Astyanax mexicanus: one gene and its partners. The protein of the gene in region 3 interacts with the protein of the main gene of each other region in a biochemical or structural test. Links are inferred from orthologs where the notes say so. Each region holds a gene or a part of one and is shown on either strand. Other genes may lie near its edges. The genes, in order: tnfrsf1a, map3k1, ikbkb and map3k14a.

What was found.
Region 1: of the proteins of ikbkb (region 3) and tnfrsf1a, one has a biochemical effect on the other in vitro, tested with the Homo sapiens proteins (2 studies listed by BioGRID, with this or other methods). The link is inferred for Astyanax mexicanus from reciprocal best matches to the Homo sapiens genes IKBKB and TNFRSF1A.
Region 2: of the proteins of ikbkb (region 3) and map3k1, one has a biochemical effect on the other in vitro, tested with the Homo sapiens proteins (3 studies listed by BioGRID and IntAct). The link is inferred for Astyanax mexicanus from reciprocal best matches to the Homo sapiens genes IKBKB and MAP3K1.
Region 4: of the proteins of ikbkb (region 3) and map3k14a, one has a biochemical effect on the other in vitro, tested with the Homo sapiens proteins (3 studies listed by BioGRID and IntAct, with this or other methods). The link is inferred for Astyanax mexicanus from reciprocal best matches to the Homo sapiens genes IKBKB and MAP3K14.

Annotation. Positions count from the first base shown.
Region 1 is NC_064413.1:39,278,148-39,285,625, forward strand, and holds the start of tnfrsf1a (tumor necrosis factor receptor superfamily member 1A), read left to right. Parts: upstream 1-4,466; 5' UTR 4,467-4,679; intron 4,680-6,939; 5' UTR 6,940-6,988; coding exon 6,989-7,054; intron 7,055-7,197; coding exon 7,198-7,330; intron 7,331-7,478.
Region 2 is NC_064427.1:27,156,024-27,163,758, forward strand, and holds the start of map3k1 (mitogen-activated protein kinase kinase kinase 1), read right to left. Parts: upstream 3,003-7,735; 5' UTR 2,959-3,002; coding exon 2,450-2,958; intron 1-2,449. UniProt on the Homo sapiens protein: Component of a protein kinase signal transduction cascade. Activates the ERK and JNK kinase pathways by phosphorylation of MAP2K1 and MAP2K4. May phosphorylate the MAPK8/JNK1 kinase.
Region 3 is NC_064419.1:217,779-225,236, forward strand, and holds the start of ikbkb (inhibitor of nuclear factor kappa-B kinase subunit beta), read left to right. Parts: upstream 1-4,443; 5' UTR 4,444-4,663; intron 4,664-5,863; 5' UTR 5,864-5,896; coding exon 5,897-6,001; intron 6,002-7,458.
Region 4 is NC_064426.1:23,745,636-23,752,585, forward strand, and holds the start of map3k14a (mitogen-activated protein kinase kinase kinase 14), read left to right. Parts: upstream 1-3,944; 5' UTR 3,945-4,070; intron 4,071-6,950.

The DNA of each region.
Region 1 (7,478 bases), on a different chromosome or scaffold from region 3:
CTTTGGATAGAGATTTGTGCGTGTACTGCACCTCACGTACACGTCACGTTCATTTCTGAAGACGCAGAATATGTGAGTCAGTCGTCATGCGTACAGGAAAGCATAGAACTCACATCACATCCAACCTCAAGGCTGATGGTCTGTTACACCAAAATACCAAGTAAGGTTCCATTTCTTTTAGCCCAAAACAGAAAGCTGAGGCTGCAGTGAGCCAAAGACAAGAATAATGCAATATTAGTCTTGATTTCTGCTAAGAAAGGTCAAAAACTGGTGCAGACAGCATAAATATATATAGATCCAACCCGAAAGAAGGGGCCAACAGAGTTATTAGAACTGCAGTACAGCTTGAATCATTAATTATAGCATTAAAGTGCTATAATAAGTAAGAGTTGAGTACAAAAAGCATGTCAAGTAACACAAAAATATTGATCAGATTGATCAATTGATTGTTTGGATGTCATATAAACCTTCATTGTATTCAGTAACTCTCTCTACTCTCCTGGAAAAGCCTTTCTACTATATTTCAGAACATTGCTCACATGATTTAATAACATTCACTGACAAGAGTGTTAGTGGGGTTAGGATGTTGGATAATCACCACCCGACCTTATAAACCTCCATAACTGCCTAGCTCTCCCCAAAGTATTGGATGGAGCATCACCATTATTCAAAGGGGGTAGTCTTATTCTATTGGAAATACTCTTATCTACAGTTTTAGAAATGGGCTTAACTTTATTTAGCTGAATCCATTAATCAGAAAAGGTATCTACTAACATTTGGAAGTTAACCGCAGGTTTCAAAGGAAATGCAACTTCCTGTGATCACTGATTATTTACAACATTGCACAGATCAAAGGACCTCATTCACCAGTATTCACTTCCTAAGAATGTTTTTCAGTTTGTTCTTGAGAAAAAATAGGTTCATAATGTGCATTTAAACCCCAACACTCTTCACAGCAATGCTCTAATAATGAAGGATCACACTGTCTCCATAAACTAAAGAAATTCCAAATAAGAAATAACAAACCAGGAGTGAAAGTCAGAATCTTTGTGAAAACTGTTTTCAGAAGTTTTAAGAAAAGGCTTCTTTCTAAGAATGGCTGCTGAATATGGCCCCTTGTTCTAATAGAGAAAGCACATTACACTGCTTTAGTGTTCTAGTTTAGAATAAAGGGGCTTTTGTAAACAAACGTGACAAAGAGTTTGCAGAAAAAAATCCCCACATGTAGGCCAGACACCTAATGCTTTTTGTAAGTGGCCATGTTGTTTGATTTTTCCTGATAAGAGGCCACAAGCCTGATAAATCTACCAGTACAGTAAAGCTGTACGCTGTGTGACGCCTGCCTACTTAAAAGGGCTTAATAAACTGTACATTATCGAATCTTAAACTCATCAGATGTGAACACTTATGCTATAAAACCACTGATTATTTTTAAATGCTTCATTTGCTTTTCACTTGAGATTTATACCAATACACTTGTTCATTTGCTCCAACATAATGTACAAGTTTTGCTGATTCAATGCTGATCGGGTTGAGCATTTATAATATCTAAGAGCATTATGCCACACCTACCTGATAATATTTTATTACTAAAACATAAACATATCTAAATAAATACAACCCCAAATCTCAAAAATGAATGTAAATGAAAGTAAATAAGAGAATTGCAATGCTCTGCAAATTTCATAGACTCACATTTTATTCACAATAGAACATAGAACATATATAAGATGTTAAACGTAAGGCATTTCAACATTTCATGAAAAACAAAAACTCATTTTGAACATGATGGGAGCAATGCATCTTAAGAAGGACTGTGCAAGGACAGTGCAAGAAAAGGCTGGAAAAGTGAATGATACTAATAAAAAATACCCAAAGTGATACTTCATTCACTGCCCTTTTATCAGACATTCACAGCATCACATTTCTTGTTAAAGGGTCACTAGTGTGTCAGAAGTTAGGAGTGACCCCCATATCCCTTGCCCATTATTCAATTTTCTCTGTTTCATTCTATAGATTAACATTAGTAATGCTCAGTATTGCCCCTAAGAATGTGCTGCTGGCAGAATAATTATTGAAGGTCTAGCTGTTTTAAACTCCAGGGTTAGTATATTTCACTGTATCCTGATTAAAATCTAATACACATTTCGAAAATTAGTCAGTATGATGTAGAAGATATTTCATATCGATAATCTGGATATCTGTCATCTTTCTAAAGAAGTTAAGATCTTAACGTCTTCCAGGAGGCTTATGAGAGCATTCTGCTAGTAGCTCAGAAACCTTTATATGGTGAAAGGATTGACATAGAAATGACAGAAATTGGGGTAAATTGACTCATTACGCTTTAATCAAATTCATGACATCACTGAGCTACCACAGAATGTCATGCTTTAACACTCTGCACTTTCAGATATAGACTGAAGGCTCTGTGTTGTACCTTTTTTTCTTCAGTTTCAGATGCCATAATTCTGCCACTCTTACCCAACCTTTGGTAAACCATTATACATCCTGGCACTCAACAAGAATTAAGGAACCGTTAGCACCATCTGTTTGCAACCCTAAGATAAAGTGATAAAATAGAATATGATTTAAGAAAATCAAAGATAAGGCAAGGTAAATTAAAAATAGATAAGATTAATAAAAACTCTTCAGTATTTATTTATTATCTTGGTAGAACTTGGCGATATGGTAAAAAATATTATAACATAAAATTTAAATACATTTCCATGAGACATAATATTTCCCAATGCATTTTTGTTCAAAATGTACTAACATAAATATTGTGTATCTTTTTTTTTTTTTTACCATATTGCCAACATTTATGTTTTCAAAATGTACTGGAATTCACTGTAATTCACTTTGGACTAAAGCATCTGCCAAATGTAATGTAATGTAAATGTAATGTAATGTAGTGTAATGTAATGTAATTAATTTAGATGAATTAGTCAGAATGGTTCCATCAAATGTATTTTGAATGAGAAGTAAAGTTTAATAAAATACAAGCTATATACAGAACAAAAACATGAAGCACTCATTAAGCACTCAAATTAGTCCTGTTCCTTTAAGAAAGGATTTTTTATCTCACCTCTTTATGTGTATAAAAGGCATTTATCATAGAATTGGTCTCTTCCATTCAGTCCTCTTGACCATCATGGGCAAGACCAAAGAGCTGTCAAACATCAGGGACAAGACTGTAGACCTGCACTATGCTGGAATGGGTTACAAGACCATAAGAACAAAGCTTGGTGAGGAACAGGACACTGTTGGTGTGAGAATTTGGACAGTCAATTACCCTCTCTCTGGAGCTCCATGCAAGGTCTCAAGTCGCGGGGTAATAAGGATGATTCTAAGAAAGAAGTGAGGAGCTTATTGATTGATGAGTTAATGATTTCAAGGTAACTGGGAGCCCAGAAAATAATTAGAAACATACTTTGCCATAATAAATTTAGATTCTGCAGTGCCCACAAAGTCTCTATACTCAAGAAGGCTTATGTACAGGCCCATCTGAAGCTTACCAGTGAACACCTGAATGATTCAGAAAAGACTTGAAAACATGTGTACAGATGAGACTCAAACTGAGCTTTATGGTATCAAATATACAGAGAAATACTGGATATGACCCCAAGAACACCATCCCTACTGTCAAACAGAGAAGTTAAACATTGTGCTTTGGAGCTGTTTCTCTGCCAAGGGTACAGGAAGACTTAACTGCATTAAAGGGCTGATGAACAGGCCATATATATACTGTAGAATCTTTACATTCTCAGTCAGAAACTAAAGCTGGGTCATGCAAGGGGTCTTCCACCATGACAATGACCCACAATATTTGGCCATGGTAAAAATAGAGTGCCTTGACGCATGTGAAAATCTGCCTATAGGTCCCCCACACCTGGCAACACAGACTTTCTTATCCAATCACGTGTGGGAAAGAGAGAGAGAGAAAGGCGCCCACCTTAATTAGTTTTTAGTATGGGCAGGCAGAGTTTTTTTTCCCTCCTTAGAAGGCATGTTGAGGTGAGTTAATGTGACTATATATATATATATATATATATATATATATATATATATATATATATATATATATATATATATATATATATATATATATATACACATACACCTGTGAAAAAAGTTGCTATGTATAGGTAAATGTTTCAGTAAAATGAAAATTGTTGTTTTATTCTATAAACTATGGAAAACATTTCTCCCAAATTCCAAACAAATATATTTCCATTTAGAGCATTTATTTGCAGAAAATGAGAAATGCCTGAAAAAAAAGCTGCAAGGCCTTCAGAATGTTCTCCTCCACCAGTCTTTTTGGATCAATTAGGTAGGTAAAATCAAAGAAACTCATAAAGAAACTTATTGTTACTTAATAAGTTTCTTAACTTATTGTTAAGAAACTTGTAAACTGGTTTGGCTATGTCTCCCTCTGCTGGTCTGAGCTCTTTCCTTTTTTAGGTGGAGTATTTTGTAAAAGAAGTGACGCCGTCCGTTTCCAGTCAGGTCTGTCTCCTTGTGGCGGAGGAGAAATGGACCTCTCCGCTCTGTTTGCTGATTTTTCACTGTGATTTAATTTTTATCGACTGTATTGTGAACTTATGGCCGCGGCGGTTTTGCTCCTGCTGGATAGGAGAGCCCGCAGGTGAAGCGGAGGCTCGGCTCACTCGGTTCAGAAGGTAAGTTTAGTTTAACCAGCAAACGGAAACTAGATTAGAATCGTGAGCTGTGGGCGGAGAGCGACACCGAAAGTAAAAAAAAGAGTGGAAAAAATTATGTGACATTTATTATTATAATCGGTGGTTTGTTTTTAACAGCGGGGCGATAGTGTACACAGTGAGATTAGTGAGTAAATGTCTTAAATTTTGTGACTGTTGGTTAATTTGTGTTTGTTGGCGGTTTAAACTGTAAAACTGATCAGTCAGAAAGAAAGTTGCGCAACTCTTAAGCACTTAAACTGAAAGGGAAGCAGATTTCAAGGAAGTCAGACTTCTTAAGAAGTCAGACTTCTTAATGTCCTTTTATCTGTTTTAAATCATTAATATTCAGTAAAAATCCATTTAAATCACCTACAGATTAAATAGTACTTTTTTAAATTGGAAAAATCTTTTTTTAACAGGCTTGTCACAGTAAATATATTTTTGGATTAAATGATTACTGTAATAAATCTTTTTAGATCAGTTTATTTAACATTTTAATTGCCAACGTCAGGATTGTTCCGGTCATCATAACTATTTTTAGATAAGATATTGTCACAGAAAAAAAATGATAAAATATAGTATTGTTGATAAAAAAAGAATTAAACCATATATTATCGCATAAATAGTGGTACTAAACAATATTATTGTCATTATAAGACTATTTTATTTACTATTTTCTATTGGCAATATTAGGATTGTTCCTGTCACAATAACTACTCTTTTTGGATGATATATTGTCCCAGAAATTATTGTGATAAATAATGTTATTGGACCATTTTATTCTGTCATAAATTATTAAAATAACAGCACAGAAATACGTATCCTTCAAAAGACATTTTAATGCATAATAATAGTTTGTGAGATTTTATTAGCTTCTTTGGTATTTTTTTGGTATTATTATTCCTGATTCATATTTTTTTGGACCATATGTTGTCATAGAAACAGTTGTGATAAACAATAGTATTGTTGTTATTGGACGATTGTATGCCACTCATATACTTTTTAAATATCTCTCCGGAAATCTCTGGAAGAGCAAAATCATTTAAATAATAATAATAATAGTTTGGGAGATGTATGATTTCAATTCTTAATGCCTTTTAATCAAATTTACTGGTTACATCGTTAGTTCGAATAGTTGTGTCACAATATGCACATTTAATTTGGATCATATATTATCCCATAAAGAATTGTGATAAGCAATATTATTGTCACTATAAGACCATTTTATTTGCTATTTTTAATTACCAACGTCAGAAAAAATTGTGATAAACAATAGCATTGTTGTTATTAGACCCTTTTATGCTGCACCATAATGTTACAACTTCTAAAAGACATAATAATAGTCTGGAAGATGTATATGTATGTTAATGGAAATTCATACTGCCTTTTAAATATTTGATGCATATTTTGCTCAGGTAACTCACCTTTACCTGTCAAAGTCTGCACAGTGTATGCAGTAGGGCTGCACGCTTTTGGGAAAAAATACATTTGTGATATTTAATTGTTCTGCAATATATATTGCAAGCTTGCCAGAAGTCAAAACCTTGTAAAATTCCTATGTAAAATGAGAAGAATGTGGATTTTTCTTTAGTTTAAGCAGCAAAAATGAAATAAAGTGAATGAAATTACACAAAATATTGCATGCCCTGCGATGTGGCTGCATTGCGATATTGATGCTGTAATGATATATTGTGCAGGCCTTGTATGGAGACACCGTTACTGATGCATTGGCCACTGCACAACTGGCTTAAATATTGGTGAAATTAATTATTATGTAAATGAATACACAGGTGAACAGAATTGTTCTGCAAAAATGATTGATGTCATGGCCATATTTTGAATGATAAAAAGATAATGTAATTATTGTGTCAGGCCTGTTTAGGATCTGTCTACACCAGTCACCCCTGAGGTGGTATTGATCATTGGTACAGATGTTTGGTGATTAAGTTTGTACACTCAACACAACACTCTAGCATAGCATTGGGCTCTTTATGGCTCATGTGATGTTCCTCCAGATTCCCCTTCCTTTTTTTGCTGCTACTTCTAATACTGTAGAGTACTAACTGTGTTTTTTTAAATAAAATTCAGCTGGTTAACAGCAGCTACATCAGATCTTATTTAAATTTAAATTTAGCAGATATGTAGCAACATATAAGAGGCATTTGTTGTCATAAGCTGACTAAAATAAAAAAAAAAATCTCACTTCTCACCGCCTCCTTGCCCTTGTCTTTGTCTCCAGTGTTGCCTTGTACTCTCTGATGGAGTAAAAGTGCAAGCCCCATGCCACGATGGATGCTGGGCATGACAGAAGCAAATGGAGGAGGAGTTGTGTGGCACACACTTTGATTTTGTTGGTAAGAAGCCACCTAACCTAATATATACACTAGTGAAACAATATATTAACAATACATATACTATAATTACACTTCTAATGTTCATGTTTTCAGATCTTGTAATGTTTAATGTTCTTAATTTAATGTTAATTTCCTCCACACAGTTTGTTTTAAGTCTAACAGCAGTGGAAGCACTGTATGAAAACCCTTCTGGACACAACAGCAGCCAATCAGAAAAATGCGCAGATAACGAGTACGAGAGTGGGACTGGGTTCTGCTGTGACCGGTGTCCACCAGGTACAGTAACAGAGTCTGAGAATGCCGTAAAGGAAGTGGGCATGGGGTATGAGATAATCATCATGCCTAGGGCAAAGTCAGTTCCAGAGAAGAATTGAGGAAACTTTGAACAGACGTGGAGCGTTAAATGACAGTGTATGGTTACTAT
Region 2 (7,735 bases), on a different chromosome or scaffold from region 3:
TACCATCAGCTTTTCCTTTTAAGGGAAAAAGCCAGCAGGGGGGCAATCATTTAGGCAACCTTGAGTAAACAAGCTCCCAACAGTGAAAATAAGGTGCCTGCATCACTTTGTGTTGTGCTGAAGTGGATAACAATTAAAGATGGGGGGAAAAAAAACACTGATCAAACCACAAATCTCATTTTTGTGGCTTTTTTTATGGCTTGGCATTGTGAATGAGAATATTCTTTATTAAAATAGATATGTGGTCCAGGACTAGGTTCAATTCCTGTCTAGGAAACAACCCAAGGTCATATTAAGGCAAGTTTGTTTATGGGAAAAGTGACAGAGTACATATACACATGGTCTGGAGAAGTGTTGGGTTTAGTTTAAGAGCCATTGTGTAGGCTGTGCCAGAGTTAATATTGTCTTAAGCACTCCTGCTGGATCACCTGGGCAATTCTAATAGGGCAATATATATTTATCATATTCAATGTAACTTAATGGACGTAAAAAGCAGACCTCCAGCCACGACAGAGTAATACACAGGCCTATACTTACAGCAGTAAAACGATTCCTGAATTAAATGCAACATTGGAGTGCCTACCAAAGCTGAACCACGAAACACCGAAATCGCTGCTAATGTAAATCAAAGCCGTCCAGTCTGATAAATTAAAGGCTTTTAATGCTTAAACACATAAATGCATGTTTGGATGATATTATCCTCATCTTTGTGGTTTAATATTGGGAGACAGATCAGAAAGATTTAAAGCTGTTCACCCCTCACATCAAAAACTGCGCAACTCTACTAAGCTGATAACATCTGGGGGCCCACCTCAGCAGGTGGGCGACACGGATTTAGTGATTCTGATTGGAGCAGGATGCTCAGCAAAAAACAACCCAGTTTTATGGTACAAAATAAAAACTGAAAAAGAGAAAAGTATAACACCCAACCACGTCAATACAACCCATGCAGCAAATACAATATGTAAAAGAAATGCAGATCAATAATGCTCCATAATATGCATATGAGTAGTATTCTAATAAATAGGTCTAATTTCATATGATGGGAAAACAGCATTAGTTCTGCAATAAATTATGCTATGGATTAATAATTAATAGGACACTTTGGATGAGCATCAAACCGAACATAAAAACAAATGAGATGCAGCTAGATAAATATGAATATTATAATCACAATATTTGCTGTGATATTTTGACACAGACAAAAATACATGAGGCAGATTCTCAGCAACTGCTTTTGAAAATTGTTATCCTAAATCAAAACGTGCTGTACCCAAACCAATTAAACAGTACTGATCTGACAAACACTGATGATAGTTTGTCAATATTGTAATTCAAGCAGTCTTTTATTGACTGTTAAGCTTAAAGGGTACTTTTTGTATAACTGCACTTAGTATTTTGGTACAGTTTTTTGGCTACATTACATTATTTTTATGTTAAAATTTATTTATGCATTTATTTATATACATTTATTTTGTTGGAGTAGTATTTTGTAGTATCAAAAAATATTGTTATCACAAAAACAGAAATATTGTGATATTAGTTTAGGGTGATACATCACACACCCCAAATCACGGTGCAATAAGAGAGGATTTGTAATTAAAACTCTGTACCAACACTTATATCACAGCTATATCTACAGGATGCTCAGAAAAGTACACAGTGATGAAAGATCAATATCGTCTAGGCCTGCCACGATAAGTACATTATCGACTTATTGTACAACAAATGGAAATTAACATATGTTTATTTAGCTGTTTATTTGTATGTTTGTTCACATATATAAAATGAACAGTATTTTAGACAGGCATGATATACAAGACCAATGCTTCCATAACTACAACTCCATACACACAGTGTGGGCAGGCTGCAGAAGGTGAAGAAAAAAAGTATATACAGGTCTGGAGAAAAATAAGAGACAACTTAAATCATAAGTTTCTTTGATTTTACCAAATTGAAAAGGAATTAAGAAGAAGATGGATGATCACAAGCCAAACTAAAGTGGTCTCTTTTCCATTTTTTCCAGAGCTGCATTTTTAATAAACTATAATTAATTTAATTTCTGCCAACTTAGAAAAAGTGTGTAATTGCTTTAAATTTTGATTTATGGTTATGTCTGCAGTATTAAATGTTCTTAAATGGCAAATATATAAAATAAGGCAAAAGTTTCTGGGACGATATATCGTCCACATAATAATCTTATCGTGACAGGACTAATATCGATCACATATCATACAGATTGTTCAGCCCCAGTTTCGAACTCAGAGTCTGACTTCAGTAGAACAACGAGCTGGAGTTTCTGAGAACTTCTTAGAGCTACTTTACAGTTTATACAAGTTTTACAGACACATTATCCAGGTGAATCGCAGCGGCAGAGAGACAGTACTGGAGTAAAAAATCTCCTTATCAGCCCCAAAAATGCTCATTATCAGCCTTGAATCTTTCTTACCTCTGCTGGTTCAGTTCTCCTGGAGCTCCGGCTGCAGCATTATCAGCGCAGAGTTGGTCGCTGCTGCTTCTGAAAGAAGTTTTAAGCAATTCCTGCGCGGCTGCGGCCAGACTGCCGCCGCTGCTCTGCTTATCGAGGAGCGGGTGTTCAGTCAGGGAGCTGCTGCTGCTGTGCTGGACGCGGTGGCTCTGCTGCAGGAGAGTCGCCTGCACTGCGCCGGGAGAGGACGCGGATAAGAAGTGGAGCTGCGCCGCCGCGGCTGAGGGAGCTGCCCCGCTCTCGGAAGCCAGCAGCAGCGACTCGGACCCGTCCAGATCCACGCTCCGCACTTTCCGCAGTTCTTTACGTCTCCATTGCGAACTCTCCGCCGCGCTTCGCTTCGCCTTGCCGGCGGCACCGCTCGGGAGACCGGGCACGCTGGAGCTTCCACGCGGAGAGTTCCCCGCGTCTAAACCGCCGCTCGAGTCCAACGGTCCTGACGACGAGGTCCGGCTCCCCGCCGTCGCCATTTTCTGTGCTGAATTTTGCCACTTAATAGGTTTGTGTGGTGAGTGAGTGGAGAGAGGGGAGGGGGGGCACGCGGGAAGCGGGGCGGAGCGAGGGCAGGCACTCCGCTCTGTTTACATAGTGATGGAGAGTTCGATTCATCCGAGCGAACCGACTCCTCAGAGTGAATCGAATCACTCCAACTCACCTGCAACTAAACTGACAGGAGCAGGTTCACTTATATTTAACGAACCGATTCCCAACAATTGCCCAGTTTACAAAGTAAACTTCTAATGCTGACCATACACTATATGGCTTTGAAAAGACTCTGAAAAGACTTGTTACTATTTGCAAGGCTGCAACTAGCTTTTTAAATTTTATTTATATATATACTTTTATTATTTTGTACTTTTCCACGGAAACCGTGTCCCTATCACTATCATTGTAAGGCTGTTGGAAATGCTGTGGGTGACGAAGGAGGGCTATTGATTTTTTTTCTCCCTTTTTCCTTCTCTCTCTATATTAATATATGTCCTCCCTTAAGAATAATGCATTGTTGCAGAGTGAAATAAAGTGAGAGGGGTGGTGGCGGGCCAAAAAAAAATTTAAAAATAGTATTCGTTATCACATTTCACTACACCCCAAGTCCATTTCACACCGGATTTCTACTTTAAACAAACAAACAAACCATATTAATAATAACAACAATAATAATAATAATAATAATAATAATAATAATTATTATTATTAAAGTCAATTTTTGATGACTACTTTTTGATTATGTTTTTTGATTATTATTATTTTTTGACTCAATTACAATTTACAAAGCAATACATAAAAACTATCATTCTATAAAAAAAAACATTAAATGTACCACCACTATTGACTTCTGTTTTATTTATTAACTTTTAAACAAACATGTTTTCCAATTTTAGTATTATTGTCTAACTACACTATATACTGTAGATACCATGTGATCTTCATTTAAAATGCAATAAAACTAGTGTAGTGTAACATATAAGACAATGTGGATGTTATACCCCAAAAATAAAAAATAAAAATAATTATGCAAAAGCTGCTGATAAAAGTTTAATATATGAATATTTTGTCATATGATATAATTTAAAAATGTCTTTTTGGTGTATGGGGTTGTATATCATTATTTAGATATTTTTGTAAGTTTTTGAAGTGATTAATGCTTTTTGTTGAAGAATTATTTTAAGCTTTTCGTATAGAACAGGACTTGTGTGTATGTTATGGTTAAAGTTTGCTTGATTTGGGAGTTAGTTCGACTGATTTAGGTAAAAGAATCGTTTAAAAAGATTCGTTCAGAGTCGGATCAGCGTGAGAACTATCACATTCTCACGCGGAGCGTTCATTCAACACGGGGACTGTCATTGACTTAACACTACTGAATAGTTAGCAGCACTGCCTTTAAATTCACCAGCTCCTTTATTTCACTCAAATATTTCACTTACAGTTTATTTATATTGTTGAGTAATTAATGTTCATCTAAAAGGTTTTCATTGTTTGGGCCTTTTCTACACTTAAATCTCCATTACAAGAACACAGTTAAGGCCATAAGAATATAATACAAAGAAGATATGCAGTATATATTTAATGTGAGTTAAGTTTCATACAAACAATACTAAATTAAACAATACTTATTTTTTAAGAAGTTTTTACACAGCACTAAGAATAACGTCAGATTGGCAAAAATTGATAAAAATTGTATATCAAATCATGGCACCTGCAGTGAATTGAATCTCAGGTTTGTGTTACACTATAAGTTTCTCTCTGCCAAACTTTTATTCACAAATGCCTCCAGCAAGGCATCTTCACTTAAGAAAAAAGTTAAAAAGAGCTGCATTGGAGCTTGTGTTACTGGGCGGCCAGCAAAAACAATTTCCTTTTAATTTAATGTAAGTAAAGTTTAACACAAATAATATTAAATTTAATCAAATTGAAGTCAACATCAAATTAATGTATTATAATAATTAAATTCTGATGTCGGAGATCAACATTGTTTTCATGTTAGAAATGAAAAAATGTCATTCAATAAAATGTTGCTATCTGGTTTGGGTTATTAAAGAAGATTTAGAAGTAAAATCTATTAACAAAATATGCTATATAATCTTTGCATGTAATTTGAAATAGGTTTGTGTGACTTTTATTATGGATTTATCTGTATCTATAAAAAATCCTACTTTTAAAACCCTTTAAGCTAGCTCTCACTGGTGTGAATGTGGCTGCTTGACATTGGACGGTAAAGCTAATATGGGTAAATTCATAACATCACATCATGGCTGTTTGAAAAGTGAAGCTAATGCCTTCATATCAAAATAACATCATAGTTAATTATTTCCTTTTACCTCATAACAGCTGAGAAATTATTGGCTGTGTGTCTGTGTGTGGTTCATTGTGTGCCGGTTTTCTGGGCCAGTCGGTGGCCTGGGAAGAGTGATGGCTTTGTGAACCTACAAATTACATGTTCTTCTGAATAAATCTGTCTTTTGTGTTGTTTCCGTCTTCCAGGTTATGTAAGGGCCTTTAGTGCCCCAGAAACAAACCAGATTTTAGCATCTGAAAGGAATTAACCTATTTTATTAGTGGACAAATGAGGGATTACGTATCACAGTTTTATTATAAAAAGATAATTCATTAAGCTCTGTTTTCTCTTAGGGGACCAGCACAGTATATGAACAAAATGAGCCAAGATATTATTTTAGTAGTAATCTGATTTTAGCCAGTTTGATAGGGGAACTATACCAGTTTCTAAAATCTCTTTGGAATTAAATGACAAATGAAGACAAAGTTATTCTAAGAGGTTTGGGGTAAAATGTCTCTTTATAGAGAAAGTTGTCCACAGATGTCTGCAGAGTTTAATGCTTCTACATTTACGGCATTTTGCTGACGCTGTCATCCAGTGTGACTTACAAGGTTATTTCTATTACAGAAGTGGGTCAATGTAGCATTAGTAGTCTGCCCCAAGACTCTTATTAGTGTAGAGCAGTATATGAATTGAACCCCAGTCTCCCACATAATGTAGTAGCTCACTGACAGGGGGTGGTGTTATCCACTGCACCACACCATCCACATAGCTTCTAAAAGTTAGATAACAGAAAGTTATAATTTGAAATGATCAGGGATATAATAGCAGCTGTCTGCAATGTGCTTTTTACATTGTTTTTATTTTCCACAGAGATTAAAACCTAGTCATAGACTTTCTTTTTCTTTCACTGGTAAATCTCCACTGGAAATGGCTGTGTAGTCTAAGACTAGGTTTTAGAATAATACTTTTTTTTTGGGAAAACTGTCCCAAAATGTGCTATGTGAAATATTACTATCTATTAAAATTTTATAACAAACTTACTTTTCCTAAAAACCCTTTTTACATTATGTAATAATCTTGTATCTCCAAAATATGAACTTTCAAGAATAGTCAGCGTAAAAGAATCTGAGCCCAACTCTGTTTGGAGCATTTCTTTTGACCCATTCAGTATAATTTTTTCACCCAGCATTAAGAATAATGTCAGGTTGGCAGGTTATGACAAAAAGTGAAAAATTGGCAAACATTGGAGATATTGTTTTGACAATATAAAATTTTGGCACCTGCAGTCACTTCAGTCTCAGTCTCAGTTTTTCTCAGGCGTACTTTTATCCTTAAATGTCCAGCGAGGCATCTCCACTTTGTTTTCCAGAGCTGGTAAAGTTAAAAAGAGCTGCATTGGAGCTTTAGGTACTGGGCGGCCAGCAAAAACCATTTCCTGTCAACGTGGATCCAATCTATCACTGAGAGCTATTCTTAGCCAGTAGGGCTTCCTCTGCAGCTCCTGCATTTCCTGCTCACGTGGAACGCTCCACAAACTATTTGTGCTCTCTCTTCTGTCATCTCAGCTCGCCTCAGCTCTTCAGCTCAGCGCCGTCCACTTTTAACTTCAGCTGAGTTCAGAGCTTTTGTGGAATCACGTCAATTGAAGTAGGCAAGTTTACATTAAATGCTGGAGTGGGTTCAAAACGAATATTCAGCACGGATCAGTGATTCTATTTTCTATAATTATACAACAGTGTCTTATTTTTCTTTTGAACTGTTTTCACAAGTACTTTTTGAGAAACCAGAGCATTCAGACTGAGACGCATCTGTACAGATCTGATTGTAATCACATTTCAGACCTCCTTTAGATTTAAGATTTGCTTAAATTAAGATTCAATATGTTTTTTTTTTTTTGCTGTCCAGACTATCAAAAATCTATCTCGATACAGTCTAGATCAGGGGTCTCAAAGTAGCGGCCCGCGGGCCACATGCGGCCCGCGACGCGGTTTCATACGGCCCCTCACGGGTTAACAAAATAAACATACATCTGGCCCGCAATTCAATGTAATTATTTATGCTTTATTATGTTCGTTTTCATATTTTATCTTAACTTGTATTTTGGTGTGTGTGCGTGTTTTTTTTTTTTTTTTTTTGCTTACGCTGCGTTGCCTGCTTTAGTAGTCTTCAGTAGCCTTCAACAGTCTAACCTTGCAGCCGTGGTGTGTCCACTAAACTCCGTAGTTATAAACATCCTGAGGTTAGCAGCGCGCTAACTGACCTGTTTATAATGTAATCCGAGCAGTGCCTCCGTGACGCTGCTCTAAACTGCTGCTGTTAGCTGCTTGGGCTGAAAGATGAACTGTAGAGAGCTGTATTATCCGGTTAGTGGGGTTATTTTATTTCATACACAGAAGAACTTACAAATTTTTAAAAACGCTCCAGACTGGCTCAGCTGAGCCCTGTAGCCCGTGGCTGGGCTGCAGCTC
Region 3 (7,458 bases):
CATACATATCCTAAATCATACATACCCTAAATCATATATATCCTAAATCATACATACCCTAAATCATACATACCCTAAATCATATATATCCTAAATCATACATATCCTAAATCATACATATCCTAAATCATATATATCCTAAATCATATATATCCTAAATCATACATACCCTAAATCATACATACCCTAAATCATACATATCCTAAATCATACATATCCTAAATCATACATATCCTAAATCATACATACCCTAAATCATATATATCCTAAATCATACATACCCTAAATCATACATACCCTAAATCATATATATCCTAAATCATACATATCCTAAATCATACATATCCTAAATCATATATATCCTAAATCATATATATCCTAAATCATACATACCCTAAATCATACATACCCTAAATCATACACATCCTAAATCATATATATCCTAAATCATATATATCCTAAATCATATATATCCTAAATCGTATTTATATTTTCATATGCAGTAAAATATGCAAAGATCGAACACATATACTGTTTAACAGGTTTGGGCTGCAAAAAACAGACTCACAAATCCAAAGTCACTTCTACAGCCCTGACTGTAAATAAGGATACATATAGAATTGAGAAGTATAGAAATCGTTATGATTTTTGAGATGTTTGAATGAATTCAGCTACTTTATGTTGCATGAATTACTGACACAGATGTGCACAGGTTTTGTCAGTAGAATAGATTTATCTGGAGAAGGTCTCTCTGGAATGGTGGAGCTCCATCCAGCACTTCAGTTTGGTTGGGTCAGTTGGGTATTTGTGGGGGTAAAGTGGGGGTGTTGCACTGTAAAAATGTTCATAAATGTTTACAAAAATGTAAATAGAATAATCATTTTTTTAGGTAAGATTACATTTATTTACAGCGATTATGTCTCAAGTATTTTGAGTTAGGTGAACGTTTGACATCTTTGCGATGGAAATGATCAACTGGACCGAGAATGCTCCATGCTAACAAACAAAACACCTGCAGTGATGCTGAATTTACTCATTTCTCTGACCTTGATGTTTCTCATTAATTACCTGCAGCTTTGTCAGATTGTCAGATTGTCAGATTGTCCGGCCTCAGTGTTGGTGGCTTTAAGAGCAAGTTACCTTTTTCTGTATATTTTGGATTTCCTTAACATTTTAAATAAGCAGTGTGCAGGTCTTTACAGTGTAATAAACAGTATATTATATTAATAAAAGTGATAAAATGTAAATGTGTGTCACTATCAGTTTTCATGAATATGTAATATACCCACAGTAATCACAGTGTATTTAAATGATTGAATATCTGGTGCTGCGTGACTCAGGCGTGTTTATATTCAGGACTACTGCCCTGTATCATCCTGCAGTTCACTCACTAACAGGAAGCTGTGGTGTAAACACACTCCTGTAGTTAGGGGTGTTTTATCCGGACGTCACTTCACCATCAGCGTCACGCTCACCAACAGACAACGACACACTGCCCAACAACACCGTCACCGCGCCGCCTCCCTCCCCGTCACTAACACTAGTGATCAGACCGTCTCTCAGATGTGGAAATGTGGGAAATAACTGTGATAAATGTGGGATGATTTGAGTTAAATATCTAAATGCTTTCGGTTAAGTTAGACTGAGTTGTTTTCTGGTGTTTATTTAGTGGTCACCAAATCAGACCAACATTAATTAAATACCATGAAGATGCAGCTCATCCAGATTCCAGATCACAAATATTTAACAAACTCAATCAGACACATTTATTCAGTTACTGTCTGAAACTAACGGTTCACTTTGAGATGATTTGGAAATGTTTCACGTTGGCAGAACAAGCACCAGGAGTAAAGCAGCATAAAGTTATCCAAAAGCAGTGTGTAAGACTGGTGGAGGAGAACATGATGCCAAGATGCATAAATTCAATCTGTGATTAAAAAACAACCAGGATTATTCCACCAAATATTGATTATTTCTGAACTCTTAAAACTTTATGAATATGAACTTGTTTTCTTTGCATTATTTGAGGTCTGAAAGCTCTGCATCTTTTTTGTTATTTCAGCCATTTCTCATTTTCTGTAAATAAATGCTCTAAATGAGAATATTTTTATTTGGAATTTGGGAGAAATGTTGTCTGTAGTTTATAGAATAAAACAACAATGTTCATTTTACTCAAACATAAACCTATAAATAGTAAAATCAGAGAAACTGATTCAGAAACTGAAGTGAAATCTTAATTTTTGCAGAGCTGTATATTAATATGTTATAATACTGTAATTAACTAAACATACTTTAAATGTTTGTGACGCCATTCCCACTTTCATCATCCAACACCGGAGGTAAATAAATTTACAGTGAAACCGTGCTGTTCTCTTCTCTAAACACTCTTCTGTTTTGCACTGGAATGATGGAAAAACAGATTACACAAGAAATACTGATTTAATCATTGTGGCTTTTCTTTGGTAAATCAGACTCAGTGTAATCTGAGGGTCTTTGCTGAGAATTTATCAGCAGGATTCTACCCTTGTGAAAAAATATTTTTTTAATATAATATTAGTGTACTTGAACTACATGTGGAATAATTATCATATACTTTTCTGCCTATACATATATCTTTACCTGCTTAATTTACCTAGTTTTGTACTGGTGATGTACTTAATAAAATACATGCTTAATATTATTTTATAAAACTGTGCATTTTTATCACAAAACTATACTTTTATTGAATTCAATAAAACTGTACTTTAGTGAAATTTGCTAGCAAAACATTTTTTTTGCATATTTTGTGTTGCTTATAAAAATTAAAACTGTGCTGATGAACATTTCAGGTTTTAAATAAAGTTAACTTTATAGGATATCTTCAAATACACAGCATACACAAATATACTTAAATTGTATTAAATAGTGTCGTTAAATAGTGTATTAAATATTTGACTAGTACACTGATATAATTATATAATTTTAACTACAATTTTAATAAAGTACAAATTAGTGGTTCCAAAAAAACATAACTTAGTACAGTCCTAATTCAGTATAATTTAAGTATACTTTAAGTACAGGAGTAAATCAGATCAGAGAGCAGAGCCTCTGTGTTCACATCCTGCAGAACAATATTAAATAAACACATTTCCTCAATCTGAACCAAAACTGCGGAGGAAGTGAGTGTGAGGAAGGTCCGGGGTAGAGGTGTGTAAATCTGTTCACACAGGGAACTACAGCCGGAAACACCGAGCTCACGCCTGTACCAGGAAATGAACACATAGACTCAACACTGCCTGATGAGGGACAGGGTCAAGATTACGTTTACTGTAATATAAAATTCGAAAAATGTATTTTACTTATTAGAATTGGCTTTAGAATACTAATATATGCTCTTTAAATGTCTTCATAATAGTTTTTTTTTCAATATAGTTGCATTGTATACTTTAAATATCATAGTAACTCTAAATTGTTATTTATGAGTGTTACAAAATGTTGGAAACTTGTATTACCAAAGTTTATAAAACTATTGGTTCCTGCCATCATTTATTTACCTTTTACACACTGTAATTCCCAAACATTATTCAAATATTTTGAGTTAAGCGAACATCTGTGCCCACATACACATTCAATCAGAGATCTAGCAGTTTACAAGGGGCACTGAGTGATGTATGGGTTTAGGGGCGGGGCAGAAGGGAGAGCAGTGTGCCTCTGATAGCAGTGAGATGCAGATGGTTGGATGTCGTCAGCAGGGGGGCGGTATTATTGATTGATTGACTGATTGCTTGATTGATTTGCTTATTGTGAGTATCCATGTACCAAAGTACACAGAAACATCTTCCACAACTATAGCACAGTTAAATCTGTGAAGGCGCTACAGAGGCAGAAATAAAATCCACCATAATAAAAGCCTTTTTTGTAAAGGTTTGAAAATATATAAATATAAAAAAAAAATACCAAGACTGGTATGTTTCTTTACCTCAAAAAGGGACACGTTTCAGCTATTAATGAAAAATAAAATGGTTTACAGGGTTTTAGTGACTCTTTAGGTTTTAAGGATTTTAAGTACACTTTAATAGAAGAGATTGTTTTAATATTAACTTGAATATATCTTGATAATTATTTCTTTATTAATAATTATTTTATAAATATTTATTAGTACATTTATAATATACTTTTTTAGGGTAATTATTCAGTAAAATAAATTAATTTATCAGATTTTACACTATAAATGCAGGATTTGTCTGATAAAACGAGGCGCTTAGTTTTCCCACCCGTTTTCTGACATTGTCCCACCCAATGACTGTATCGGCCACATTCTCAGCCAGGATTGGCTAGACGTAGAGAGCTTCTGTCCCCTGATTGGCTTGTTAGATTTAAGTATCCAATCCTCTCCGAGAGGAGGCGGGGTTTACCTGATTACAGGTGTGTAAAAAAACGCAGCTCAGTGTTTACGGGAAGTGACTTTTCACTTTTCAGTATGAGGAAGTGTGTGCGCGTGAAGTTTTAATGGAAGATTCAGCTTTAAAAACTACATTTTACCGCTTTATTAAAGATTAAAGAACAGATATAAACACTGGGTATAACAGCGCGGTAGTTACATCGTATTTAACAGTGTATTTAAGTGTTTAGAAGCGGTGACTTTGATCCTGTTGTTGTGAAGGAGCGGATTCAGGTGATAAAGGTAATGTGTTGTTTAGTTTTACTGTTTTATTCTTATTTTACTATTAAATAAACAGATAAAGTATAATGCACACTGTCTCTCACATACACACAGCTCATTATTCACTGTTTTAAAACTATAAAACATCATTTTCCTCTTTATTAACTCTAAAACTGGAGTAAACAGAGCAGAGCTGCTGTAGTTCTGAATGTACCGCGTGCTGATAAAAATACTGATACTGATATAGATAGAGCCCACGCGCGAGAGTTTTAACCATAATACTAGAAATATCATTGGTTATTTTTGTTTTAAACATATTTGATTGGTTTCCTTTATCTCTTTTTATCTTATTTTCACTTCATTTCTAAAAATTCCTGTTCTTTTTATAAGTATAAGCTGCAGTCCTATATAAATTTCCTTTGTTTTTAATTTAATTTTATTAATAATAATAATTAATAATTTAATTAGCAACTAAATGCCCCAAACAAATACAAGTACATATGGTTGTAGTTGGTGTGGTGTAGTGGATAACACCACCGCCTGCCAGTGAGCTACGAACAACATGTGGGAGACTGGGGTTCAATTCCAGAGTCCTTGGACTAGACTCCTAACACTACATTGGCCCATTTCTGTAACAGGAATAAACTTATAAGTCACTCTGGATAAGAGCGTAATAATAACCGTAAATGTGATGGTTATTGTAAAGAATAAATAGAGTATTATACCACAGTTAGTTCCGACCCTGCAATGTGATTGGCTGAAAGGTGTTCTATGAGTGCCTTTATCAGCCGGTAATGCACTGTAACTAGACTCTCCATGTATTACTACGCCCACATACAGGTAACCTAGCAACGATGCAGCGCTTACAAACCAGACAGCGCAGCTACAAACAGAGCAGCAATGGAACTATTTTAACCAAACAGATCCTATTTTCTCCTCCTCTTTAACTCTTTAAAATCTTTCAATAAACAGTGATAATTGAACTGTGGTATAATTAAGCAATAATACACTCCTGTTATAGCACTGCCTCTTGAGAATTATTGGGAATCATCTTAAATCTAACCTCAAGTGATGGTTATATATATATATATATATATTCAGGTGGCAGCTGTTTATCAATAGGGCATCCCAAACTGTATGAATTTACTGTAAAATAAAAACAGCAACAGGTTAAAGTGTGTTTAATTCTTGTCTCTTTTTTAATGATTAATTTCTCCTCAGGACTGTGGAGAGAGCTGGACCTGAGGGGTCAGCATGAGCCGAGCTTCTCCCATGCAGCCCCAGAACTGCGGACCCTGGGAACTGAAGGAGAGACTCGGGACCGGAGGATTTGGAAATGTTACTCGGTGGCAGAACAAGGTATAAAACACTGTCTAAAACTTATAATAATAATAATAAACTTTATTTTTTATAGCACCTTTCATACATAAGCTCAAAGTGCTTCACAATAAAATTTTATAAATTAGCAAAATGTAACAGTAATATAAAACAAATAAAACAATTAAAAAGTAACAATTTCATAAAATAGTAGGAAATAAGACATTTATATTAAAATAAAATATAAAATAAGATAAATGTAAACAAAAATGATAAATTAAGAATAAGAACAACAAAAGCATTTACATAAAAAAAATATGCTAGTATAAGCAGTACAGAACTTGTAGAAAGCTGAACAGCTAAAGGAAGGTTTTTAGCTGTGTTTTTTAAAACTAGTAACACTCGATACCTGACGAATATTAATTGGTAAAGAGTTTAATATTTTCCAGATAAAAATCCAGATAAAGAGCTGTATATTTTACACCCTGCGCAGGATGTCTCGAGATGCTCATCGCCATCTTACACCCCGTCAACATTCCTCGTTTAAACAGCAGCAGAGCTATTTAAATTTGCTTGTTTATCTTGGTAACAGAAAACACAGGAGCTCCACTGACTGAATACAACCTAGACAGATGCCAACAGTCAGACGTTCATCGCTATCTTGTAATGCTGGTCATGTTGCTGTGCTGGTCATCCTGTAGTCCTTTATCAGTATTTTCATTAGGTTTTCTATTCTGTGGGTCCTGAGTATTAAAGAACAGAGTGAAAATTTGAAGGAGGAGAATAATAATAAAGTATAATAAAGAATAATGTTATTATTATTGATCTGTGTTTATAATCTGCAGGGCTTCTTTTCTTCATTTCTCTGAAGTGTCGTTTATTTAGTATCTTCGTTTATGGTAAAGGAAGCTGAGTCAGTCTCACCTCACCTCAGAAATACATCAGAAATACACAGATAAAAATAGAGCTGCTATTGTTTACCACACACCATTACCAACAATAACCTGTTAAACCCAACAGGAAATATGATATATATATGAGCATCCTCTTAAGGTGATCTCATACCGGGTCATCACCTGCCTCACCCTGGCAGCCGATTATAACTTTAAATATGGTGGAAAAGGTTGAAAATCCCCCTTCTCCTCCACCAGTCTTACACACTGCTTTTGGATAACTTTATGCTACTTTACTCCTGGTGCAAAAATTCAAGCAGTTCAGTTTGGTGGTTTGATGGTTTGTGATCATCCATCTTCCTCTTGATTATATTCCAGAGGTTTTTAATTTGGTAAAATCAAAGAAACTCATCATTTTTAAGTGGAATCTTGTTTTTTTCCAAAGCTGTATAGTATCTGGCTGCATGCCGATAAATTATAAATGTGTTCTGAGAGTCACTAATGGTTTTTATTTTAGGCGTCTGGGTCAGGACCTCTAAAACAGCTGGAACTGTAATATTAGTGGAGGTTTACGTAACTGTGCTCTTATTATTCTGCTCAGACAGT
Region 4 (6,950 bases), on a different chromosome or scaffold from region 3:
CAGACTCGAGCCTCAATTCGCCTGACCCGCCCACACACGCGAAAACAGACCAATGACAGCGCGCGAAGCCTTGACTGACGCCTCGCCCGTCCAATCGCACAATGGACTGATACCTCAGATGACTTTCTGCAAGTCCTCCCGCTACGCCAAAGCACAACGGGCTTGTTATCGAGCATAAATAGATTGCTTGTGTTTTGTGTTTTGACAAATATGTCGTTTTCTTAGCACTTGCAAATGATATTAATGCATTATTAGCTCAATGAGAGACTCCGCGTCCTTTTTAATAAGATTAATTTGTGCAAAATATACTTATATAGATAGTTTATATATTTATTATCTTATATAGATAGTTTATATATTAAAATAAAGACTGTATGTCTTCAACAACTCCATATAGAACTGCTCTATTTAACACCCTTTTAGCTAGTGCTTTAAAGTTTTAAAATCTTTTAGTTTAACGCTTCATGAGCTTTATCCTGTATTGTTATCAATACTGTAAAATGTGCCCAATGAAAATTTAAGAATAAGAAGTCGCCCTCTAGTGATTGTAGGCCTCAACACAACCAATAGTCACGTAACCCTTTTAGACCTGAATTATCTCCAGTGATGGAAACAAATGTAGCTATGAATGCTATTTTCTGTCTGTAATGCACAGAAAAAAAGACTCTAACATTAAACTATAAAATCTATATAGCAAATAAATCAAATTAAGTAAAATATTGAATAATGATTTTTAATGTGTGTGATATGTTATGTCATATTGACCTTCTTATTTTATAAACCATCCCTAAACAGTAAAAAATGATTTAAAAGTGCTCTAAATCACATTAAATTAGTACAAATGTATTTAGTTACTTTGCCGCAATTGCTCTAATACTGTTTTTCAGTGTTTTCCAAGTTTTATAAACTTGTTCCTTGGCTGAATAATGGTCTATTTTGATAGACAACAGCTCTCAAATAGTGTTATGTACAACAAAACATTAAAAAAGTAAAGAAAATACATGATGTCCATTGTAATGGATGTAGCATCTGAAAGGGTTAAACCATTTCTCAATCCTGGACCTTATTAGAGTTCCTTATCCTCTCCACTGGTGAATTCTGGGGTGGGGTTTTAAAGTGTGTCAGCGCAATAACGCCACAATTATATATTTGAAGATTGTAAATACTGAATCAAGAATGAATACTATTTTATCATACATTTGATTCAACCATTTATTTACTAGCCCTTTAAGAGATGCAGGGGGTGTGGTAATGCTGGCATTTCAACATTGAATCAGCATTGAATTAACCTTGATATTATGGTTGAATCAACATTCCCAGCTGGCACACAACTGAACTTCAACGTTGAAATATGGTTGAAGTAGTCTGTAGTTGTTTCAACATTGAAACACCACTGCAACAACATATCATTTTAAATGGTTGTTCAAAAGTTTGTTCATGGTTGTTCAAAATGTCCTCAGCCTTCTGCCTTTTAAATTAGCATTTTACATTTCATCACCATACAATTATAAAAACAGATGGATGGAGGGATAAAACATGGTTTTACTTTCATTTGCATACCTGGGAGTATGTTCATGTTCTATTTGTTTCACGGTTGAGATTGGTAGTGGTGGGTAACATTCTTTATTTTCAACTTTACTACAGTGATGTTTATTGTTAACACTGTTAACCATAGGAAACTCTAGTTTTAGCTACTTGCAGTACTTGCTTTTTGTTTTCTAGTTGTACCGTTCCTACTTCTCAGAGATGTATATTCTGAGAGAGAAAATAAAAATAATATGCTAATTTTTTTCATCATGGCATACAATGGCATACAATCCCGAATGTGAGCTATGGTTTATTAAAGGTTGAACATACGACGTTAAAACAATGTTGCCATATCAATGTTGATTCCCTTTTCAAAATCAACACCAAATCCAACATTGATTCAACCATAATATCAACATTGATTGATGACCGTTGATTCATCGTTGAAATGCCAGCTGGGTTGAATCAACTTTGGATTTGGTGTTAATTCTGAAAAAAAAAAAGTAATACCCATGATTTCTGAAGAAATGAATACGCAGTGGAAGAAATATTTTGTCCATAAAGTATATATAGGGTCAATCTATATATAAAAAATGTATATTCATAATTCTAATCCCAGACAGTTTTGCTTCATTTTAAAATGTTGCTCTAATAATGTATTTGAAAGGTTTTGTTTTGGGTGGCATGTACTTCTGTAACATTGGCATTTTATCTCTGTTCAGTGGTTTTGATGTTTGCACAGCAGGTGGAGCTACAGATAAATCTATACCTAAACATCCCAGTAAACATCAACTCCTGATTTCCATAAAAAAAAACATTGAGATTGCATATAAAGATGTGTATTAATGTATCTAAAGCAAATCAAGTCATACAGCTTATTACAGACAATACTAAAATGATAGTATTCACACCCAGATGTTCCTATTTCTGATTCAGTGAATATTAGACTTCTGTACTTTTCCTTTCATTTTTAGCTTTCCATTCTTCAAATCCATTCATTATGTAATGTTTCCTAAATTAGAAATGGAAAGAGGTAGAACATTTGTGTACATATAGTTTTTGTTTAGGGGTAGGCGATATGATATTGTATATAAATATATTATATAATTACTTTATATATAATTACTTCATCTGTCAGTTTGGGTGGATGACCATTTCTTGGTACACTGTAAGCCCAGATAAGTTGAATTTATTATAAAAAAAATGGAGGAAACCGGTTGCCTTAAAAAAGTTAAGTAATGGGTTGTCTCTCACATATGTCTCTTAAAGGTTTTTCTTGTTGTTGGTGAGGAAGGCGACATTTATACACGTATCAATGTGCACATGTGAGGCGTTTCAGGGACAGATTCGTTTACATTACACACAGATACAGGTCACTTATATTTGTGAATGTGGAATGAGGCTTGTAAGCCTAACAAACCTCTGAGGTCAGAACAGAACACGTTCTAAATTACAAGGCTAAATTACACACAACTGGACTCTATTTGACAAATTGACTTCTGAGGGCAATTAATTGCAGTAGATTTTATTTCCACGTGACACTTTTTTAGATTTGTATATGAATAAAATTTGGAAAGCATAATTTTAATTCTAACAATTAAAATTAATAAAATAGATTTAAGTGTGTGGTTGTAAGGTAAAAAATGAGAAAAACTTAAAAGAAGAATGAATACATTTGAAATCCACTGTATATGGAAAAAATAAGAGACAGATCAGTTTATCTGATTTTGCTATTTATAAGTACATGTTTGAGTAAAATGAATATTGTTGTCTTATTCTATAAACTACGGACAACATTTCCCCCAAATAAAAAAATTGTCATTTTGAGCATTTATTTGCAGAAAATGAGAAATGACGGAAATAACAAAACAAGATGCAAAATTTTCAGACCTCAAATAATGTAAATAAATCTCATAAAGAGTTCAGAAATCAATATATTGTGGAAGAACCCTGTTTTTTAATCACAGTTTTCACACATCTTGGCATGTTCTCCTCCACCAGTCTTACACACTGCTTTTGAATAACTTCATTCCACACATAATGCAAAAGCAGTTCAGCTTGGTTTGAGGGCTTGTGATCACCCATCTTGCTCTTATTTATATTCCAGAGGTTTTCAATTTGGTAAAAATCAAAGAAACTCGTCATTTTTAAGTGTTCTCTATTTTTTCCCAGAGCTGTATATACAGTGTAACACCATAATGCACAGGATGTAAACACTTAAAGTCTATGATGAGCTAAATGTGCCAGAAGGAACTGAACAGTTGTTATACATTTTTTGCTGCATTTCTTTGATACAGAAGAGGCATTTAGCATTTTGTAAAGACCAATACAGTGTCACAATTATTAACTTCTCTGCTCTATATTGATAAAGTGTCTATATACTGGTTTTGATATCAGTCAGAGAGCCCAGAGCTGAAGCTCTGCTGAGTATCTGGAGGAGGAGGAACCTCGAGCAGAGGCAGCAGCAGCTCTCAGACCGCAAGCACAACGACACACATACGAGACATTCGCCTGCGTTTTCTTCACTTCTCACACATTAACCGGTGAGTTTACTTCACTTTCACTACTCATTGTGTGTACAGTGTCTGTTCGCTGAGCTGGAGGTGACGGAGGAATCCACTTTATTCGAGTTTATTTCAGAGAGAAAAGCTGTTTTGTTTAATAAGTGAAATGGCGGATTAAAGAAGGAGGAAGTGGAAGCAGCTGTATCGCTAGCTCAGCCCTCCTCGACTGAACTCGGCTGTAAACCTCTGTTTCAGCGCTGAAGTTAGTTTTATGGACGGTTGGCTGTTTAACCGAGTCTTAAACTTATATTTTTTGACCATTTTTGCTTCCTAGCTTTATTAGGTTAGCGAGTTTTTGTAGGAAATGCTTTACTTTATTAGGAAGCCAAGTTGTGCAAAAACAGTTAACGTTAACTGCTAATTAAGGTAGTTAGCTTAGCATACATTTACCTCAGAAATATTAGCTAGCTAACTAGGTAACCGACTGTGTTTAGGTGTTTAAATGTTCTGTTTTATTAAATAGCATTTAAAGAATATGTTCTGTAGTTTATGGGTTAAACATGTTTAGATAGGTTAGCTGTCCTGGTTCAAATTATGGGTGTAACGTTTGGCCTTCATTTGAAAGACATCATTTCCTGAACTGTTAACTCTAACGCTAATTCACTGCAGGCTCCTTAAGACCTGCCTGCTAATGATGTTCATGAAAGGTGAGCAGCATCACACCTGCTCTCTTACCTGGATTACAACACAATTACACCTCCCCTACCAACTCTGAACAACTCAACAACTCTTTAACTTTAGTTTGAAACAGATTAACAATGTTGGGTCCCAACATTTATTATGCAGGTGCATCTAAAAAAATTGAGTATCATTGAAAAGTTAGAACCTGAAACTTATATGTTACATAGATGTATTACACACAGAGTGATCTATTTTAAGTGTTTATTTCTTTTATTGCTGATGATTATGGCTTATATGGCTTACAGCTAAGGAAAACCCAAAAATCAGTATCTCAGAAAATTTGAATATTACATAAGACCAGTTGTTACTTTTGGCAGTGTGGTCAGTGTGCCAGGTCCTTCTGGAAAATAAAATCCACATCTCCATATAAGTTGTCAGCAGACGGATGCATGAAGAACTGTAAGTTTTTCCGGGAAAACACTGCACTGACTTATATAACACAGTGGGCCAACAACAGGAGATGGCATGGCTCTCCAAACCATCACTAACCATCAGTAAATTTAATTTAATTTGAAAATCAAGGGACCAGAGTCTGGAGGAAGAGTGGAGAGACACACAGTCCAAACTGCTTGAAGTTTAAGAAGTCATGTCATCTTCTGGTGTTGGTCCACTGTGTTATATCAAGTCCAAAGCCAGTGCAGTGTTTTCCCGGGAAAATTTTTACAACACTTCATGCTTCCCTCTGCTGACAACTTTTATAGAGATGCGGATTTCATTTTCCAGCAGGACTTGGCACACTGCCCAAACTGCCAAAAGTCCCTGTTGGTCTTATATAATGTATTAATTTACGGAGACACTGATTTTTGGGTTTTCATTGGCTGTAAGCCATAATCATCAACAATAAAAGAAATAAATGCTTATTTTTTTAACTGAATTACTGAAATAAAGTATTTTTTCAATACTATTCTAATTCTTTGGAGATTCACTTGTACACTATATCTTTTCAGCATCTTCTTTTCAATATGGGTGCAGAAGTAGCTTAACAAAAATGACCAAAAATTGTATTTTAAAAATAAAACCATATTAAAGTACACCAGATATATGCAGCAGCTTCTAAACTAATGTAAATATGATTAATATAGGCAACACATTTAGCGTATTAGTTTTTGAATGTTTTTTTGTTCGTGATTATCATCAGAGATGCTAGGAATATTTATTTTATTATCAGAATAAATTTAATTGTATTTATACTGCACTAATGACTCAATAATAGAGCACTAATAACATGGGATATGATGCTGTTTTATGAACGCAAAACCTGAAAGGTAGCTGGCATAATGACTGGCATGGACATAGTCCACATTGTAAACTGAATATAGCTTTGTATCCATGTTGTATTTTTAGCTTCTCTGTGTAAGCAGGTGTCCTTGGTGTGAGTGTGTGTATGTTGTGTTTAGTAGATGTTGCCTGAGCAGCCAGAAAATTCCCACACTAAAATGTTCAACACTGAATATCTGAAATATAAACAAATAAATCAATACTGAATAAAGAAATACTGTTATTTCACATCTAAATTTAAAAGAAATTTGAAATTCAAATACATTTGCGTCTTGGTTTACTTGGTACAACATGTTTGCATACATAGTATTAGCTTTTGTTATACTGCAGCTTTGACATTCATTTCTAGAAAAATACTGTGCAAACTAGAGTAAGAAAGTACTCACATTGTACACAGTTATACCATTTCTTTAGAAATTATAAAAATGTGGAAGGTTTTGACACTGAGAAAAAGATCCATTGTCTGTATTTGAACATTCTGTGTTCTCAAACATCTAGCTAATGGAAGCTTCATTAAGCGTAAATCATACACCTGAAACTTGCTTTATTATCAAGCCCCCAAAACATTTTTATGTAACACTTTCAGTTTTGTTAAGGCCTTTTTGCATACTTTTAATATTGAGTTTCATCTTAGTTTTTATATTAGATTAGAATAGATTTGATTAGATTTCGGATTATAAGTAGGCATGAAATTATTGGTACTTGTTGAATAATTAGTAGTTACTAAATAAAAACTATGCGCTACACAATTAGCTAATATACTCATTTGTACTACTTACATATTAGGTACTGAATAATTAGTATGTCATAATATTGAATAAATACTACTTATTGAACAATTAGCTAATAAAATATTATACTATTTTTTTCCACTGACAAAAAGCAGGTACTGAATAATTA